2 linked regions of the Anolis sagrei genome follow. The protein of the gene in region 1 purifies or fractionates together with the protein of each later gene. This does not show direct contact. Links are inferred from orthologs where the notes say so. Each region holds a gene or a part of one and is shown in the gene's direction. Other genes may lie near its edges.

Region 1 (10,717 bases):
GTAATTTCTTTTTGCTTGTGGGTAAACAGTATTTTTGTTGTTTCTTTGTTAGTGTTGATGTAGAGATTGCTAAGCATTTGGTTGTGTAAAAACTTGAATTTGGATCTCCCAGGTTAAAGTTCAACACTATATACTGTATTAACGCCAGATGCATTAAAGTAATATGTATTCATTAATTTTTAAAAACTGGTTTGCAAACTGGGAAGTCTGACTTGGCCACGGTGGTACACGCTCTTGTCACATCCCGCCTAGACCACTGCAACGCTCTCTACGTGGGGCTGCCCCTGAAGACGGCCCGGAAGCTGCAACTAGTCCAACGCGCGGCAGCCATGATTCTAACGGGAGCGGAGCGCAGGGAGCACACAACCCCCGTTGCACCAGCTCCACTGGCTGCCAATTTGCTACCAGGCCCAATTCAAGGTGTTGGTACTGGCCTATAAAGCCCTAAACGGTTCCGGCCCAAGATACCTATCTGACCGCATCTCGGCCTATGAACCCACCCGGACTTTGAGATCTTCCGGGGAGGCCCTGCTCTCGATCCCGCCAGCCTCTCAAGCACGGTTGAGATAGGGCCTTCTCGGTGGTGGCTCCTCGGCTGTGGAACGCCCTTCCTGTAGACTGGCACCATCTCTCATGACATTCCGTAGAAAGTTGAAGACCTGGATGTTTGTGCAGGCGTTTTGAGTAATTCAGTGCAATTCTGGTAATTTGAACATAGGAACGGAACAATGGATGACGAATTTGGATCACGTTTGGATGATGAGGTGATCGGGGGTGGGATTTGTGATAACTGTGTATTGATGATTGTTTATTAGCTAGTAATGGAAATGTGTAATTTAACTGTTATTGCATATTAATTATTGCTGTTTTTATTGTCTTTGCTGTTTGCTGTTTGGAAACCGCTGTGAGTCGCCCTCAGGCTTGAGATACAGCGGTATACAAGAATAGTAAATAAATAAAAATAAATAAATATAAAGGCTCCCCATAGAAAAATGAAGTGCTTGAGCTACTTTGCCTCAGTAGTTTTTTAGAGTAAATATACTGCAAACCAGTTTGATGATTTTTCTTTCCATGTATTTCAAACATTACTCCTGCTCCTTAGAAGTTTTGTTTTAAATATGGTCATTATCGGTACAGTCCCCTATAAACTAGAAGGCACTTAAGGACAGACTAAGCCATTGACTACTCTATAGCCAGATGCTGAATTGCTGTCATTCACTATTTAGGTCTTGTACCAATATTTATAAATATTATTGCATTCATTGGAGTTTACAACGATGCAAATGTATTAAGAAATGCAGTTCAAATCAGCTTTTAAAATAATTTATTGATGCATCCATTTAATTAACAAACTTTTGCCATACAAATCTTATTTCGATATACATTATTCCAAAAGTCACTTTACCTCAAATGTCACTTTCTGTATTCCTTAGATGTGTATCACCCATTACCCATGCCCTCCCCCCCATCTTCCCACTCCCTCCTGGAACAGTGATTTCAAATTATCTATATAAATAAAAGTGTTTGGGAAGGGAAAGGCAGGGGCTTGAGAAAAGTATCTGTGGGTCACCTTTCTTTCCCTCCCTCTCCCCAGCAGTTCTCTCTCAACTGTTGGTTTTTTCCCCCTTCGTGCGGGGGGGGGGGTGCAGGAAGGTGTCGTTTTAACGCGTGGTCTATATAGCCATTCAGGCTTGTGGGGGTTTAAGCACTTTCCGGTTTTTTTTTTGGTTGATTTTTTTTGAGGACATAGCAAGGACATAGATTGCTATGGTAGGTGTCTTGTGTGCAAATTTGGGGTCAATTCGTCCAGTGGTTTTCAAGTTCTGTTAATCCCACAAATGAATATTACATTTTTATTTATATAGATAAAGATGGAAGAAGCAGCAGAAATACACAGGAGGGATACAATTTTAACATGTAATTGTCTGGATTTTCCATATTCCCAAATCCTTGAAAAAAGGATCACAGAAGGATAGAGTTGGAAGAGATCACAAGGGCCATGTAGTCCAAGATAGAGCAATTATACATTAACTGTATCTACACATATCCTTACAATGATAAGAGAGTGCTATGTGGTTTGTTTCATATATGGAACGTTTGCTTCATTCACTTAATGGCTGAAAAATATATGTACAAGATTGTGTAGTGTTGCTTTTTTCGTGTCAGGAGCGACTTGAGAAACTGCAAGTCGCTTCTGGTGTAAGAGAATTGGCCATCTGCAAGGATATTGCCCAGGGGACACCCATTCTGTGGGAGGCTTCTCTCATGTCCCTGCATGAGAAGGTGGAGCTGACAGACGGGAGCTCACCCAGCTCTCTGGGTTCAAACCAACCGTTGCCCAGGGGACACCGGGATGTTTTCCCATCCTGTGGGACACTTCTCTCATGTCTCTGCATGGGAAGCTGAAGCTGACAAACAGAAGCTCACTCCGCTCCCTGGATTCGAACCACCAACCTGCTAGCACAAGGTTTTAACCCATTGCGCCACCGGGGGCTCCTGTAGTGCTGCTGACAGCAGTAAGGTTTTCAAATCATACAGCAGCCTTGGCTCTCACAGTTGAGAAACCTCTGAAGATATGGTTCATAGTTCAAAAATCTTACAAGTCATGGCCTGTGACTGAACTAGGCATGCCCTCACTTAGTAGGGCAAGTATGCCTAAGTGTTTCTTAAAGGAAGAAAGGGTGGAAGGAAGAAGGGAGAAAGAGGGAAGGAATGCGGGGAGGAAAGAGAAGGAAGGAATGAGATGCAGCATATCCAATTATAAGTGGCATGAAAAAATGCAGGGCTTATCAAGCAGGGTTCTGTGTGAGGTCACTGGTTCCTGCAAGAGACTATGACTGAAAAAACAAACATTTATATAAGCTATAAGTATAATAATTTTAATGCAAGGATTCTTTGGTTTATCTATGCTGTGGAGTAAATGCCATGCTCAGTGCTGTGGAACCCTAGAGAGGCACCCACACACTTTGGCACAGAAGGCTAAAGACCTTGCAGAATTACAACTCCCAAGACTCCACAGCACTGAGCCATGGCAATTAAAGTGATGTCAACCTGCATTAATTCTACAGTGTAGTTGCAGCCTCTGAGCCCAGAAAATTATTTCTGAGGTTCTTCTAGGTAAAAAAAAATGTTGAGAAATACTGTTTTAGTGCTTGTATGGAAGTTCAGCAGATGCTGGTTACATGACAAGCAAGACTTGCAGAAATCTTCTCTTCTGCATAAGCAATAATTGGTTTGGAATCTTTGCCCTTATTACACTTAGTTGCCTTAAAGCAGGTATGGGTAAACCCAGATCTGGGGGTTGGATTTGGCCCCTTGGGCTCTTTTCTCAGACTCTCCTCTCTCTCGGTATCCTGTCTTCCTTCTCTCTCTCTCCTTCCCTCCCTTCCATTTTGTCCTTCCTTCCTTCTCTTTCTTCCCTCCATTTCTTCCCTCTTTCTCCCTCCTTCCTTCCACCCTTTCTTCCTTCTCTTTTTCCTTTCTCCTCCTCTCCCTTTTCCTTCCTTCCATCCTTCCCCTCCTTCCTTCCATCACCAGGCTGCCAGTCCTCTTAGCAGGGAATGCTAGCATGTGGCCCTCAAGTCAGGTTTGCCCATGCCTACCCTAAGGACAATTGATCTCTGATATTATATTGGGACAGGGCTTTGTCATTTTGCCTGTTCAGATGTATTTTGTAGCTTCCATAATCCTGCCTCATCAGGTTATCTATGCTGCCCATCCCATATTAGGGCGTGGCTAACAGTGCCAATGGGAAACAGTCCGCTTTATGGATTCAACCTCTTGAAAATACCTATTTTTTTAAAAAATCCCAAAAGCAAACCTTGATTTTTTTACTATACACACACACACACACTTGAGTATAAGCCGACCCGAATATAAGCTGAGGTGTCTAATTTTATCACAAAAAATTGGGAAATAGTATGAACTCGAGTATAAACCGAGGGTGGGAAATCCAGCAGCTATGGGCCAATTTCAAAATAAAAAATAGATATAAATGAAATTAAATTAATGGAGGCATCAGGAGGTGAAATGTTTTTGAATTTTTACATAAAACTGTAATTTATGTCAAACTCTGATTAAACCATTACTCTAACCTTCTTCAGCGTAAATGTGCTTGTGTATCCTTCCAATAATAAAGAGAGCAAAATAATGGAAATGTAAGAATAACAGTAATAATAGAGTAACATAACAAATGTAATAACAGTAATAATAGTAATAATAATAATGGAGTAAAATAATAAATGTAATAAAATAATAATAATAGAGTAAATAAAATGTAATAAAATTATAATAGAGAAAAATAAATGTAATAATAATAGATTAAAATAATAAATGTAATAATGATAATAATAAAGTAAAATAATGTAAATGTAATAATAATAACAAATAGAATAAAAGATTAAATACAAATAATACTAATAACAGAGTAAAATAATAAATAACCTTGACTCAAGTATAAGTCAAGGGGGGGGGGTCAGCCTAAAAAGGGGGCTGAAAAACTAGGCTTATACTCGAGTATATACAGTATATCTACAACTACATCATTGTATACATCATTGCTTAAGCAGCTGAGAGGGAAAAGAAAGGGGCCTGAGGCTGTTAGGAATGGTGGGAGCTGATGTCCAAAACACCTGGAGGGAAGGCCCAAGTGTGCCCATAGATCTGCAGTGTACCATTAATGCAATTTGAGGCCACTTTAACTGCCATGATCCCCTGCTTTGGAATACAGGGAGTTGTAGTTTGGCGAGGCCCCAGATTTCATTAGCAGAGGCTTGTCAAAGTAGCATGGCGATTAAAGTGGTCCCTAATGGCAGGAACTCAACCCCAAAACTAGGGCCAAATAATGCGGTGTGGAACCATATAATGCAGTTCCAAACCGCATTATTAGGCAGCGAAAATCCAGCCTGGGAGGTGTTTAAAATCTCCCAGCGAGGGCGAGAAGGCGCCCCTGCAAGCGAGGAGGCTGCCCTGGCCCCTTCTTTCCTTCCTTCGGGGCGCCTTCCTGGCCCTCCTCCTTCCCTTGCGCCGGGTCTTCGGGGCTCCGTCTCCGCCAAGGCCCCATGGCTCCCATCCTCGGTAGAGAGGCCTTGGCGCCACCGCGGGCGAACGGGTGCCGGGCCTCGCCTTTTCCCCTTTCAGCAGCACTGTCAGAAAGAAACCCAGCGGCACACTCCCCTTCCTCTCGCTCCGGCCTTTGTATGATATCCATTTGACGGAGATGCTTGTCCGAAGCCACTTGGACCACACCGCGGAGACGGAAGAACACCACAGCGAGTCGGCACCGAGCACGGATGTGAGAGGCCTGCGGTCCCTTCTTTTCTTCCTTCTCCTCACCTTGAAGCGGGACTGCTCCGTCCCGTCCCCATGGCAACCCGCGAGAAGACCCACCAGGAAGGCAGGCAGGCAGGCAGGCAGGCAGGCGCGAGGGGTAGCCCCAGTACCGCGTGCGTGCGCGCGCGCGCTCCTGCTCGCAGGCTCCTCGGAATTTATAACAACAGGAACGAAGCAGCAGTCGCCAAGGCGACCAAGCTCCGCCTCCTTCGACCCATTCCCTTTCCCTCCCTTTCCTCAAGCGCGGATTCCCGCCTGGCAGCGGGCGGGGCCCTGACGGCATGATTGACAGGAACGAAGCACTAGTCGCCAAGGCGACCAAGCTCCGCCTCCTTCGACCCATTCCTTTCCCTCCCTTTCCTCAAGCGCGGATTCCCGCCTGGCAGCGGGCGGGGCCCTGACGGCATGATTGACAGGAACGAAGCACTAGTCGCCAAGGCGACCAAGCTCCGCCTCCTTCGACCCCTTCCTCTTTCCTCAAGCGCGGATTCCCGCCTGGCAGGGGCGGGGCCGTGGCGGCGTGATTGACAGTTGTCATAGTAACAGGCTCTCCCGGCCGCCATTTTGTCAGTTGGGCCTCTTTAAAAAAAGATTTTTTTTTTTACAATTTCCCCCCTCTTCCCGCCTAAATGAGCTAATTTCCGAGTGGGTTATATTAGAAATCCCCTCACGGAAGCTTTACTTTTTTAAATATATATATATTATTTTGAGGTAGTTGAGGTTTTATTTTTTTTGAAATCTGATTCTCGTCAGCGGAGGCCGAAAGGAGCAAGCGAGGCGGCTGCGCGCGCACTCCCGCCCGCCCGCGTGAGAGAGTGAGTGTGTGTGTGTGGCTGGAGCTTAGTTCCAGAGAAGCCGGCAGTGAGGAGGGAGGGGAAGGAGCGAGAGCGAAGGAGGGAGGGAGAGAGAGAGAGAGAGAGGGGAGGAGAGCCAGCCAGCCAGCGAGCGAGCGAGCGAGCGAGGAGTTTCCCGGGGGCTCGGTTCAAGCGCCGCGCTGTCCTCCTTCCTTCCTGCCTCTGCCTTCCTCGCTCGGCCCGGCCTCACCGCAGCCGTTGAAGCCTCCTCCTCCTCCGCCGCCGCCACTGCTACTCCGACGCTGGGTCCGGGCCCAGGCTGGCCGTTCGCTGCGCAGGTTTGGAACGCGCGCCATTTTGTGAGCGAGAGGAAAGACAGCCTTCCCGGCCAGGAAACGCCGCGGATCCGCCCGCCGGGCCGGGCCACCTCCCTTCTTGCCTGCCTGCCTACCTCCCTCCAAAAGGGAGGGAGGGAGGGAGGGGGTGCGTGGTTGGCTCCGCTCCGGGGCCACGAAGGCCCTGAAGAACAAGGAGGAGGAGGAGGAGGAAAAGACGACAGCGGGGACGCCGCTGAGGGCTGGGCCGAGCCGGACCTCCGCGGCTTGAGGCGGGGAATGAACTGAGGGCGCCTCCCGCCACTGCCGCCGCCGCCGGGAAAGGAGGCCTCGGTCGGGATTATTGCAGGCCCTGCGGACAGGAACCCGAGGAGGACGGGGAGGCGGCCACCGCCCCAGACCCGGGTAAGTGAGTGAGTGAACGAGTGAGTGAGTGGCGGGGCCTCCGCGGCGAAGAGAGGGAGGCTGAGGAGGGCCGCTGCCATCTTGAAGAGGAGGAGGAGGAGGCCGGCCTGGAGGAAAGCGGGAGGCAGCGGCGCCGGCTTCCTCCCTTCCTCCGATCAGGCAGGGAAACCGCGAAGGCGCCGGAGGAGGCCTGGCTGAGAGGGATCCATGGCGCGCACCTGGGCTACGAAGGAAGGCCCTGCTTTTATTTTTTGGGGTGGGGGGAGAAGTGGACAGGTGGGCCTCCCCCTCCTCTCTACTTTCCCGCCCTCCGCACCTGTTGTCGGGCTGTTTGGACGGTGTGGCAGCCCAGGCTGACGAGGAGAAGTGTTTCTGTCAGCCGAGGGCCGCTGCAGCACGTACCTGTCCTATCTACTGTGTCACTCAGAGGGAGAATGCACCTGAACGGGGGGAAATCAGGACTGGTTCTCAATTTATAATTAAAAAAAATCATTCCTAGACCACCCTTTCACCCCCCAAAGGACTCGATCTATAACTTAGGAGGGAATGATTTGGATTGGGATCGTTAATTGAAATTTATTCTTCTCTCTCAGTATAGGCTGAATGGCCATCGTCCTGGGGTGTTTTGATTGTGTGTTCCTGCATGGCAAGGGATGGACTGGATGGTCCTTGTGGTCTCTCCCAACTTTTTGATTCTTATGGGGAAAGAACTAGGGTTTTTTTTTTTTTTTTTACAATTATTTCTATATTATGAGTTCAAATTACAGGAAAGGAGATTCCGCCTCAACATTAGGAAGAACTTCCTAACTGGGAGAGCTGTTCAACAGTGAAACTTTCTGCCCTGGAATGAGGTGGAGGCTCCTTCTTGGGAGGCTTTTAAGCGGAGGCTGGATGGTCTTCTCTCAGGGGAGCTTTGATTGTGTGTTCCTGCATGGCAAGGGATGGACTGGATGGTAGTCTCTCCCAATTCTTTGATTCTTATGGGCAAAGAAGCAGGGGGGCTAAGGTAGTTATTTCTGAATTATGAGTTCTAATTACAGGAAAGGATATTCTGCTTAGACATTAGGAAGAACTTCATAAGTGTGAGAGCTGTTCAGCAGTGGAACCCTCTGGCCCAGAGTATGATGGAGGCACCTTCTTCGGAGTCTTTTAAACAGAGTCTGGATGACCATCCATCTGGGGTACTTTGATGGTGTGTTTTAGCATGGCAAGGGAGGACTGGATGGCCCTTGTAGTAATTTCCAACTCTTTGATCCTTATGGGCAAAGAAGTAGGGGTGTTTTGGTAGTAATTTCTGAATTATGAGTTCAAATTACAGGAAAGCAGATTCCGCATGAACATTTGGAAGAACTTTCTAACGGGGAGCTGTTCAGCAGTGGAACTCTCTACCCCGGAGTGTGGCGGAGGCTCCTTCTTCAGAGACTTTTGAACAGAGGCTGGATGGTTTTCTGTCTGGGGTGCTTTGATTGTGTATTCCTGCTTGGCAAAGGAGGGACTGGATGGGCCTTGTAGTCTCTTTAAACTCTTTGATCCTTATGGGCAAGGAAGTCGGGGTTTTTTGGTAGTAATTTCTGAATTATGAGTTCAAATTACAGGAAAGCAAATTCCGCCTGAACATTTGGAAGAACTTTCTAACGGAGAGCTGTTCAGCAGTGGAACTCTCTACCCTGGAGTGTGGCGGAGGCTCCTTCTTCGGAGACTTTTGAACAGAGGCTGGGTGGTTTTCTGTCTGGGGTGCTTTGATTGTGTATTCCTGCTTGGCAAAGGAGGGACTGGATGGGCCTTGTAGTCTCTTTAAACTCATTGATCCTTATGGGCAAAGAAGTAGGGGTTTTTTGGTAGTAATTTCTGAATTATGAGTTCAAATTACAGGAAAGGAGATTATGTCCTAAACATTAGGAAGGACTTCCTAACTGTGAGAGCTGTTCAGCAGTGGAACTCTGCTCTGGAGTGTGGTTGAGGCTCCTCCTTCGGAGGCTTTTGAACAGAGGCTTGATGGTCTTCTGTCAGGGGTGCTTTGATTGTGTGTTCCTGCATGGCAACGGATGAACTGGATGGTGGTCTCTCCCAACTCTTTGATTCTTATTGTGCAAAGAAGGAGCGGGGCTTTTGGTAGTTATTTCTGAATTATGAGTTCAAATTACAGGAAAGCCGATTCTGCCTGAACATTAGGAAGAACTTTGTAACTGTGAGAGCTGTTCAGGAGTGAAACTCTGCTCCTTAGTGTGGTGGAGGCTCCTTCTTTGGAGGCTTTTGAACAGAAGCTGGCTGGCCATCAGTCCAGGGTGCTTTGATTGTGTGTTCCTGCATGGCAAGGGATGGACTGGATGGCCCGTGTAGTCTCTTCTAACTCTTTGATTTTTATGGGAAAAGAAGTAGGGGCTTTTTTGTAGTAATTTCTGAATTATGAGTTCAAATTACAGGAAAGCAGATTTTGCCTGAACATTAGGAAGAACTTCCTAACTGTGAGGGCTGGTCAGCAGTGAAACACTCTACCCTTGAATGAGGTGGAGGCTCCTCCTTTGGAGGCTTTTGAACAGAGGCTGGATGGTCTTCTGTCAGGGGTGCTTTGATTGTGTGTTCCTGCATGGCAAGGGATGGACTGGATGGTGTTCTCTCCCAATTCTTTGATTCTTATTTGCAAAGAAGTAGGGGGGCTTTTGGTTGTTCTTTCTGAATTATGTGTTCAAATTACAGGAAAGGAGATTCTGCCTGAACATTAGGAAGAACTTCCTAACTGTGAGAACTGTTAAGCAGTGAAACACTCTGCTCCGGAGTGTGACGGAGGTTCCTTTGGAGGTTTTGAACAGAGTCTGGATGGCCATCCGTCCGGGGTGCTCTGATTGTGTGTTCCTGCATGGCAAGCAATGGATTGGACGGCCCTTTTAGTCCCTTCCAACTCTTTGATTCTTATGGGCAAAGAAGTGGGGGGGGGGGGGTTGGTAGTTTTTTCTGAATTATGAGTTTAAATTACAGAAAAGGAGATTCCACCTGAACATTAGGAAGAACTTCCTAACTGTGAGAGCTGTTCAGCAGTGAAACACTCTCCCCTGGAATGTGGTAGAGGCTTCTTCTCTAGAGGCTTGAACAGAGGCTGGATGGTTTTCTGTCCGGGGTGCTTTGATTGTGTGTTCTTGCATGGCAAGGGATGGACTGGATGGCCCTTGTAGTCCCATCCAACTTTTTGATTCTTATCGGCAAAGAAGTAGGGTTTTGTTAGGGTAGTTTTTTTCTGAATTTGGAATTGAAATTACCGAAAAGAAGATTCTGCCTGAATATTTGGAAGAACTTTCCAACTGTGAGAGCAGTGGGACTCTCTGCTGCAGTGTGTGGTGGAGGCTCCTTCTTCAGAGGTTTTTGAATAGAGGCTGGATGGTCTTCTGTCAGGGGTGCTTTGATTATGTGTTCCTTCATGGCAAGGGAGGGACTGGATGGCCCTTGTAGTTTCTTCCAACTTTTTGATTCTTATTTGCAAAGAAGTAGGGTTTTTTTGGTAGTATTTTTCTGAATTATGAGTTCAAATTACAGGAAAGGAGATTCCGCCTGAACATTAGGAAGAACTTCCTAACTGTGAGTGCTATTCAGCAGTGAAACTCTCTGCCTTGGAATGAGGTGGAAGCTCCTCCTTTGGAGGCTTTTAAACAGAGGCTTGATGGTCTTCTGTCAGGTGTGCTTTGATTGTGTTACTGCATGGCAGGGGATGGACTGGATGGCTCTTGTGGTCTCTTCCAACTTGTTGATTCCTATGGGCAAAGAAGTAGGGGTCTTTCTGGTAGTTATTTCTGAATTTTGAGTTCAAATTACAGGAAAGGAGATTCCGCCTGAACATTAGGAAGAACTTCCTAACTGTGA
Region 2 (10,200 bases), on another chromosome or scaffold:
GGACCACAATTTACACAGAGACCCAGCATGACCCACTCTACATCCTGGTGCGGTTTGGAAGAATTTGACAATGGATGATTGGACTTGCAGTCACTTCACTCACTTCCTGAGACCACTGAGACCCTCGCCAATGACTCATCAATACTAAACTTGGCACATGGAGCTCCAATGACCCACTCTACATCCTGGTGCACTTTGGAGGAGGACAGACCATGGATGATGGGACTTCAAGTACCTCCACTCCCCAAGACTTCTGCAGAACTCATCTAATGACCAATCAAGACCAAAGTTGGCACACAGAGCCCCCATGACCCACTCTACATCCTGCTGCAGTTTTGGAGAAGGGTGGACCATGGATGATGGAACTTCCAGTACCTTCACTCGCATTCTGAGACCTCTGCAAACCTCATCCAATGACGGATCAAGACCAAACTTGGCACATAGACCTCTCATGACCCACGTTACGTCCTGGTGTTGTTTGGAAAACTTTGGAGATGGATGATGGGACTTGCAGTACCTTTGCTCACTTCCTGAGACCACTGAGACCCTCGCCAATCACTAATCAAGACTAAACTTGCCACATGGAGCTCCAATGACCCACTCTACATCCTGGTGCAGTTTGGAGGACAGACCATGGATGATGGGTCTTCAAGTACCTCCACTCCCTTCCGAAGATTGCTGCAACCCTCTTCTAATGACCAATCAAGACCAAACTTGCCACATAGAGCCCCCATGATCCACTCTACATTCTGCTGCTGTTTGAAAGACGATGGACTTTGGATGATGGGACTTGCAGTACCTTCACTCACTTACTGACACCACTGCCACCCTCATCTAATGACTGATAAAGACCAAACTTGCAACCGGAGCCCCCATGACCCACTCTATATCCTGCTGCTGTTTGTAGGAGGATGGGCCATGGATGATGGCACTTCAAGTACCTTCACTCACTTCCTGAAAACAATGCAGCCATTATCCAATGACCAATAAAGACCAAACTTGGCATACAGAACCGCCATTACCCACTTTCTCTAATAACCCGGGCAGCGCCGGGTCCCCAAGCTAGTATATAATAAAGAAGAGTGTTTGTTTGTATAGGACAGAGGAATTGTGGAGGGCGGTGTATGTGCCAGCGTTCTGATTGGCTGCCGCTGTGGTGCTATTTGCATATGGTCTCTGATTGGGCAGCTTCAATAGGAGCCCCTGGTGGAGAAGAGGGTTCATGGCAGAAACAGGGCATGACAGAAGGAAATTTGCATATGGTCTCTGATTGGCCAGCCTCAAATCCAACATTCCGAGATGACAAAGAGAGGAAAGGAAAGGCCAAAGGGGGCTGGGTCAGAACACTCCCAATACAGACCGAAATAGGCACACAGAGCCCCCATCACCCACTCTACATCCTACTGCAGTTTGGAGGACTATGAACCATGGATGATGGGACTTGCAGTACCACCACTCACATTCTGAGACCGCTGTTAACCTTAGCCAATGACTGATCAGGGCCAAACTTCACACATAGACCACTCATGACCCACTTTACGTCCTGGTGTGGTTTGGCCGGGGATGGACCATGGATTATGGGACTTGCAGTACCATTGCTCAATTCTTCATACCACTGCAACCCTCATCCAATTACCAATAAATACCAAACTTGGCACACTGAGTCTCCATGACGCATTCTACATCCAAGTGCAGTTTGAAGGAGGATGCACCATGGACGATGGGACTTCCAATACCTGCACTCCCTTCCTAAGACCATTACAACTGCCAACGATGATGGATCAGGACCACAATTTACACAGAGAGCCTGCATAACTCACTCTACATCCTGGTGCGGTTTGGAAGAATCTGACAGTGGATGATGGGACTTGCAGTCACTTCACTCACTTCCTGAGACCACTGAGACCCTCGCCAATGATTCATCAAGACTAAACTTGGCACATGGAGCTTCAATGACCCACTCTACATCCCGGAGCAGTTTGGGGGACGACAGACCATGGATGATGGGACTTCAAGTACCTCCACTACCCAAGACTGCTGCAAAATTCATCTAATGGCCAATCAAGACCAACGTTGGCACACAGAGCCCCCATGACCCACTCTACATCCTGCTGCAGTTTTGAAGAAGGGTGGACCATGAATGATGGAACTTCCAGTACGTTCACTCACATTCTGAGACCTCTGCAAACCTCATCCAATGACGGATCAAGACCAAACTTGGCACATAGACCTCTCATGACCCACTTTACGTCCTGGTGTTGTTTGGAAAAATTTGGAGATGGATGATGGGACTTGCAGTACCTTTGCTCACTTCCTGAGACCACTGAGACCCTCGCCAATGACTACTCAAGACTAAACTTGCCACATCGAGCTCCAATGACCCACTCTACATCTTGCTGCAGTTTGGAGGAGGACAGACCATGGATGATGGGACTTCAAGTACCTCCACTCCCTTGCAAAAATTGCTGCAACCCTCTTCTAATGACCAATCAAGACCACACTTGGCACACAGAGCCCCCATGATCCACTCTACAGTCTGCTGCAGTTTGAAAGGGGATGGACTTTGGATGATGGGACTTGCAGTACCTTCACTCACTTACTGACACCACTGCCACCCTCATCTAATGACTGATAAAGGCCAAACTTGGCACACAGAGCCCCCATGACCCACTCTATATCCTGCTGCTGTTTGTAGGAGGATGGCCCATGGATGATGGGACTTCAAGTACCTTCACTCACTTCCTGAAAATAATGCAGCTGTTATCCAAAGACCAATAAAGACCAAACTTGGCATACAGAACCGCTATTACCCACTTTCTCTAATAACCCGGGCAACGCCGGGTCCCCAAGCTAGTATAACATATAATACAGTGCAAAGCATTTTATCCCCATTGGCAGCCATTCAGAAGACCTACTCCCTTCCCTGATTGGCTCAGGAATAGTCAAGTAAGGATCTGAGCTGGGGACTCTGTGTGATGTCAGGGGTGCATGGAGTCTCCCTTGTGGTGGGAAAAATGGAAAGCTGCTATTCGTCCACTTGAAGCTGGAACCATTTGGAAGATCCTCCTAGGACAGTGGTTCTCAACCTTTCTAATGCCGCGACCCCTTAATACAGTTCCTCATGTTGTGGTGGCCCCCAACCATCACATTATTTCTGTTGCTACTTCACAACTACAATTTTGCTACTGTTATGAATCATAATATAAATATATGATATCCAGGATGTATTTTCATTCGCTGGACCAAATTTGGCACAAATACCTGATATGCCCCAATTTGAATACTGGTGGGGTTGGCAGGGGATTGATGTTGTCATTTGGGAGTTGAAGTGGCTGAGATTTATAGTTCACCTACAATCAAAGAGCATTATGAACTCCAACAATGGAATTGAACCAATCTTGCCACACAGAATTTTCTTGACTAACAGAAAATACTGGAAGGGTTTGGTGGGCCTTGAGGTTTGGAGTTGTAGTTCACCTATATCCAGAGAGCACTATGGACTCACACAATGATGGATCTGGACCAAACTTGCCATGAATAGTCAACATGCCCAATGTGAATGAACACTGGTGGAGTTTGGGGAAAATAGACCTTGGCATTTGGGAGTTGTAGTTGCTGGGATTTATAGTTCACCTACAATAAAAGATTATTCTGATCCCCACCAATGATAGACTTGGGCCAAACTTCCCACACGGAACCCCTATGACCGACAGAAAATCCTATGTTTTCAGATGGTCTTTGGCGACCCCCCTGACACTCCCTCGTGACCCCCCCCCCCCCAGTTCACCTACAATAAAAGATTATTCTGATCCCCACCAATGATAGACTTGGGCCAAACTTCCCACACGGAACCCCTATGACCGACAGAAAATCCTATGTTTTCAGATGGTCTTTGGTGACCCCCCTGACACTCCCTCGTGACCCCCCCCCAGGGGTCCCAACCCCCAGGTTGAGAAGCACTGTCCTAGGAGAAATGGGGCAAGACTTGGAAAATGATCTGAAATAGTCTAGGTGACAGAGACAAAAGACAACGCTTATGCAAACACTTCAATTACATCTCTAAAGAGGCTTGGCTTCCTGGATGTTCAACACTCCAACAGTTTCTCAAGCACATTTTATATAGTTCACGTTTCTTTGGGTGCTTGATTCTTGTACATATGAGTCCTCTTCCCTGACTGTTCATTAATAAAGAAAACGTAGGTGCAAAGGTTCTCCTCCAGTGGCAGATTAGAAAAAAATGTTATTTCAATACAGTTTTGCATAGTTCTCTTACCAGGGAAGAGGGGAAAAGAGGGAGATAACAACAACAACAACAACAACAACAACAACAACAACAACAACAACAACACTTTGTTTATAAACTGCCTTTATTTATATGTATATTCTGCCTTTATTTATATTTATATTCTGAGGGGACTCAGAGTGGATTACAGTGTGTGTGTGTGTGTGTGTGTGTGTGTTCCCGTACCTTGGGAAGTCTGATCTGACCACAGTGGTCCACGCTCTTGTTACATCCCGAATAGACTACTGCAACACACTCTACGTGGGGTTGCCCTTGAAGACTGTTCGGAAACTTCAACTGGTCCAGCGAGCGGCAGCCAGATTGGTCATCAGAGCGACATACAGGGAGCACACCACCCCCCTGCTGTGTCAGCTCAACTGGCTGCCGGTTCAGTTCCGAGCACAATTCAAGGTGCTGGTTTTGACCTACAAAACCTTTTACGATTCCGGTCCAGTGTATCTGTCCGAACGTATCTCCCTCTACGTCCCGCCCCGTAATGTGAGATCATCTGGGGAGGCCTTACCCTCGACCCCACCGCTTTCACAAGTGAGGCTGGTGGGGACGAGGAGCAGGGCCTTCTCAGTGGTGGCCCCTCACCTGTGGAACTCACTCACGGGGGAAATTAGGGCATCCTCTCCTCTCCTTCAGGAGGAAGGTAAAGACGTGGCTGTGGGACCAGGCCTTTGGGCAATGTGACAATTAGATTTGGACAACCAGATGGATAGGACTGAAAGGACTGACAATTGTGGATTGGAATTTGAACTATGAGATTGCGAAACGCTGACCGTCAATGAGAAGAATGGTTTGTATTGGTTTTACTGCTTTTATGGTTGTTTTTGCCTTACAATAATTACTGTCTCTATTAATTGATGTTACTGCTAGAATTGCCGTTTCTGTTACCTGATGTTATTTGTCTTATTGCTGTTATGTGATGCGGGCATCGAATTGTGCGTTGCTTTTGTAAGCCGCCCTGAGTCCCCTCCGGGGTGAGAAGGGCGGGGTAGAAGCAACCGAAATAAATATGTGTGTGTGTGTGTGTAAACAGACACAGGCAAACATTCAATACCTTGATTACAATGACAGACAATGAGACAACAAATGCATAAACAAAAGCAAAGGCTTCTCCTTTCCTTTCTGGCTCTGGAGGTGGTGCTCACAGCAACCCGGATATGAAAGCTTTCAACAACACATTCAATGGGTTGTTTCCAGTTCAGGAAGGCTGGAAACACTCTGCTTCTGGGTGGGGTGTTTGTAGGTGAAACAACCTGTTGTAAGCACAAAATCCTGCTCGGCAGGTTGTCCTATTCCAACTCCCAATACTCAAGGGGAAAGGTATTGACAGCAATCGGGTATTTTTTTTGCCTCGACCCACTTCGTCTATTTCCGTAACAGGCGCCGAACGTCTTCGTTTATTTCCGGATATTCTCGTGTCCCACTGTAAACGCTTATTAGGAGGCATGTTTATCTTACCCATACATTACTTCCGGGTATTCTCGTTTCCCACTGCAAACGCTTATTTTGATGCATGTTTACCATATGCATACATTAATTACACCATTCAGGCCAAATGTCATACCTATATGATGAGAGACAATGACTCCTAAACATATTTTCAAGATGGAGATTCTTTTTTTCTCTCCCATTTCAAAGCAGGGCCGTTTCGCGCCACTTCGGCGACTTACGTCAAACGGGGCGAAGAAGGACGAGTCCGCGGCCGCTTGGGGGCAGGCGTTGGGAAGCCTTCGTCTCCTTTCGGCTCTTTCCGTGGAGGCGTTCGGGACGCGTTCGGCTCATTCCGTGTCCGCTCGGAAAAGCGCGGAGGAGGAGGCCTCGCCGAGGTCGGGTCTTTCCGTGCCTTTCCGTCGGCGGCTCGGGAAGATTCGGCTCCTGACGGGCCGGGGCCTTCCCTTCCTTCCTTTCCCTTTCCCTCCTGCGCGGCCCGGTTAACGGTCGCAGCCAGTTTAAATGAGACGGGGTGCGGGTGGCCGCTGCTACTACTACAAGTACAACTACTACTACTACTACTATTCCCGCGTCACCCACGGAGGCGGAGTCTGAGGGGGGAACAGAGAGAGGAGGGGGCGCCCTGGGCCCACCTCCCTCATCCGGGTCCTGTCCCTGAGGGGAAGCCGGGGAGGATGACGGTGCTGCAGGAACCCGTCCAGGTAGGGACCCCGCGGGCCAGAGAGAGAGAGAGGCCTACGCCGGGCGGCGGGAGGAAGCAGGCAGGCAGGCCAGCCGGCCGAGGAGCCTCTCCCTCCGCCTCCCCGCCGGGAAAAGGCTGCTGCCGAGCCAGGGAAGTGCCTCCCGTGGAACTCTTCGCCCAGGACCTTCTCCCAAGAGGCTGGAAGGAGCCATGTGGAGGGAGGGAGGGAGGGAAGGAGGGCTTCAAGGGGGTCCTTGCCCCCCCCTCCTGCCCTCAACATTAACCCCTGATCAGGAAAACGTCGCCCACCCTCCTCCCAAACCTTCCAGATCCTCTCCTGGGTTGCTCTTCACATAAAGCATGCACACACATTAAGTTATTAGTATGACATCATGGCACTACAGGTAGACTCACCCTCCTAAATATCTAAAATTATGTTCAGCCTTTCTCCCCATCCATCATCTCCACCTGAAAAAGCATTAAGTTATGAACATGACATCAGGCAACTTTCAGGGCCCTTTCCACGCAGCCATCTCACCCAGAATATCAAGGCAGGTCATCCACAACATCCCAAATCATAAAATTTATGTTCAGCCTTTCTTCCCATTCCTAATCTCTATCGTAAAAAGCGTTAAATTATCAATAAGACATCAGGGCCCTTCCACGCAGCCATCCCACCCAGAATATCATGGGCCCTTCTACACAGCCATCTCACCCAGAATATCATGGCAGGCCATCCACAATATCCCAAATCACAAAATTTGTGTTCAGCCTTTCTCCCCATTCCTAATCTCTATCGTAAAAAGCGTTAAGTTATCAATAAGACATCTGGGCCCTTCCACGCAGCCATCCCACCCAGAATATCATGGGCCCTTCTACACAGCCATCTCATCCAGAATATCATGGCAGGTCATCCACAACATCCCAAATCACAAAATTTATGTTCAGCCTTTCTTCCCATTCTTAATCTCTATCGTAAAAAGCGTTAAGTTATCAATAAGACATCAGGGCCATTCCACACAGCCATCCCACCCAGAATATCATGGGCCCTTCTATACAGCCATCTCACCCAGAATATCAAGGCAGGTCATCCACAACATCCCAAATCATAAAATTTATGTTCAGCCTTTCTTCCCATTCCTAATCTCTATCGTAAAAAGCGTTAAATTATCAATAAGACATCAGGGCCCTTCCACGCAGCCATCCCACCCAGAATATCATGGGCCCTTCTACACAGCCATCTCACCCAGAATATCATGGCAGGCCATCCACAATATCCCAAATCACAAAATTTGTGTTCAGCCTTTCTCCCCATTCCTAATCTCTATCGTAAAAAGCGTTAAGTTATCAATAAGACATCTGGGCCCTTCCACGCAGCCATCCCACCCAGAATATCATGGGCCCTTCTACACAGCCATCTCATCCAGAATATCATGGCAGGTCATCCACAACATCCCAAATCACAAAATTTATGTTCAGCCTTTCTTCCCATTCTTAATCTCTATCGTAAAAAGCGTTAAGTTATCAATAAGACATCAGGGCCATTCCACACAGCCATCCCACCCAGAATATCATGGGCCCTTCTATACAGCCATCTCACCCAGAATATCATGGCAGGTCATCCACAACATCCCAAATCACAAAATTTATGTTCAGCCTTTCTTCCCATTCCTAATCTCTATCGTAAAAAGCGTTAAGTTATCAATAAGACATCAGGGCCCTTCCACACAGCCATCCCACCCAGAATATAATGGGCCCTTCTACACAGCCATCTCACCCAGAATATCATGGCAGGTCATCCACAATATCCCAAATCACAAAATTTATGTTCAGCCTTTCTTCCCATTCCTAATCTCTATCGTAAAAAGCGTTAAGTTATCAATAAGACATCAGGGCCATTCCACACAGCCATCCCACCCAGAATATCATGGGCCCTTCTACACAGCCATCTCACCCAGAATATCATGGCAGGTCATCCACAACCTCCCAAATCACAAAATTTATATTCAGCCTTTCTTCCCATTCCTAATTTCTATCGTAAAAAGCATTAAGTTATCAATAAGACATCAGGGCCCTTCCATACAGCCATCTCACCCAGAATATCATGGCAGGTCATCCACAATATCCCAAATCACAAAATTTATGTTCAGCCTTTCTGCCCATCCCTCATCTCCACATTTAAAAGAAGGCATTGTGATTAAAATGACATCTTGTCACTACAGGTTTTGAGTTCTCCCTCCCAAATCTTGGAAATTATGCCCTGCCTTTTTTCCCATTCCTAATCTCCGTTTTAAAAAGCATTAAGTTATCAATATGACATCAGGGTCCTTCCACACAGCCATCTCACCCAGAATATCATGGCAGGTCATCCACGACATCCTAAATCATAAAATTTATGTTCAGCCTTTCTTCCCATTCCTAATCTTTATCGTAAAAAGCATTAAGTAATCAATAAGACATCTGAGCCCTTCCACACAGCCATATCACCCAGAATATCATGGCAGGTCATCTACAATATCCCAAATCACAAAATGTATGTTCAGCCTTTCTCCCCATTTCTAATCTCTATCGTAAAAAGCATTACGTTACCAGTAAGACATCAGGGCCCTTCCACACAGCCATCTCACCCAGAATATGATGGCAGATCATCCGCAATATCCCAAATCATAAAATTTATGTTCAGCCTTTCTTCCCATTCCTAATCTCTATCGTAAAAAGCATTAAGTAATCAATAAGACATCAGGGCCCTTCCACACAGCCATCCCACCCAGAATATAATGGGCCCTTCTGCACAGCCGTCTCACCCAGAATATCATGGCAGATCATCCACAATATCCCAAATCATAAAATGTATGTTCACCTTTCTAGCCATTCCTAATTTCTATCGTAAAAAGCATTAAGTTATCAATAAGACATCAGGGCCCTTCCATACAGCCATCTCACCCAGAATATCATGGCAGGTCATCCACAATATCCCAAATCACAAAATTTATGTTCAGCCTTTCTGCCCATCCCTCATCTCCACATTTAAAAGAAGGCATTGTGATTAAAATGACATCTTGTCACTACAGGTTTTGAGTTCTCCCTCCCAAATCTTGGAAATTATGCCCTGCCTTTTTTCCCATTCCTAATCTCCGTTTTAAAAAGCATTAAGTTATCAATATGACATCAGGGTCCTTCCACACAGCCATCTCACCCAGAATATCATGGCAGGTCATCCACGACATCCTAAATCATAAAATTTATGTTCAGCCTTTCTTCCCATTCCTAATCTTTATCGTAAAAAGCATTAAGTAATCAATAAGACATCTGGGCCCTTCCACACAGCCATATCACCCAGAATATCATGGCAGGTCATCTACAATATCCCAAATCACAAAATGTATGTTCAGCCTTTCTCCCCATTTCTAATCTCTATCGTAAAAAGCATTACGTTACCAGTAAGACATCAGGGTCCTTCCACACAGCCATCTCACCCAGAATATCATGGCAGGTCATCCACGACATCCTAAATCATAAAATTTATGTTCAGCCTTTCTTCCCATTCCTAATCTTTATCGTAAAAAGCATTAAGTAATCAATAAGACATCTGGGCCCTTCCACACAGCCATCTCACCCAGAATATGATGGCAGATCATCCGTAATATCCCAAATCACAAAATTTATATTCAGCCTTTCTCCCCATTCCCAATCTCCATCTTAAAAAGCATTAAGTTATCAATAAGACATCAGGGCCCTTCCACAAAGCCATCTGAGTCTTCCTTCCAAATCT

Evidence for each region.
Region 2: the proteins of DYRK1A (region 1) and CDC27 purify together in Homo sapiens (affinity purification with mass spectrometry; 3 studies listed by BioGRID and IntAct, with this or other methods). This does not show direct contact. The link is inferred for Anolis sagrei from reciprocal best matches to the Homo sapiens genes DYRK1A and CDC27.

Annotation. Positions count from the first base shown.
Region 1 is NC_090023.1:71,920,359-71,931,075, forward strand, and holds the start of DYRK1A (dual specificity tyrosine-phosphorylation-regulated kinase 1A), read left to right. Parts: upstream 1-6,081; 5' UTR 6,082-6,865; intron 6,866-10,717. UniProt on the Homo sapiens protein: Dual-specificity kinase which possesses both serine/threonine and tyrosine kinase activities. Exhibits a substrate preference for proline at position P+1 and arginine at position P-3.
Region 2 is NC_090026.1:44,042,009-44,052,208, forward strand, and holds the start of CDC27 (cell division cycle protein 27 homolog), read left to right. Parts: upstream 1-6,131; 5' UTR 6,132-6,420; coding exon 6,421-6,447; intron 6,448-10,200. UniProt on the Homo sapiens protein: Component of the anaphase promoting complex/cyclosome (APC/C), a cell cycle-regulated E3 ubiquitin ligase that controls progression through mitosis and the G1 phase of the cell cycle.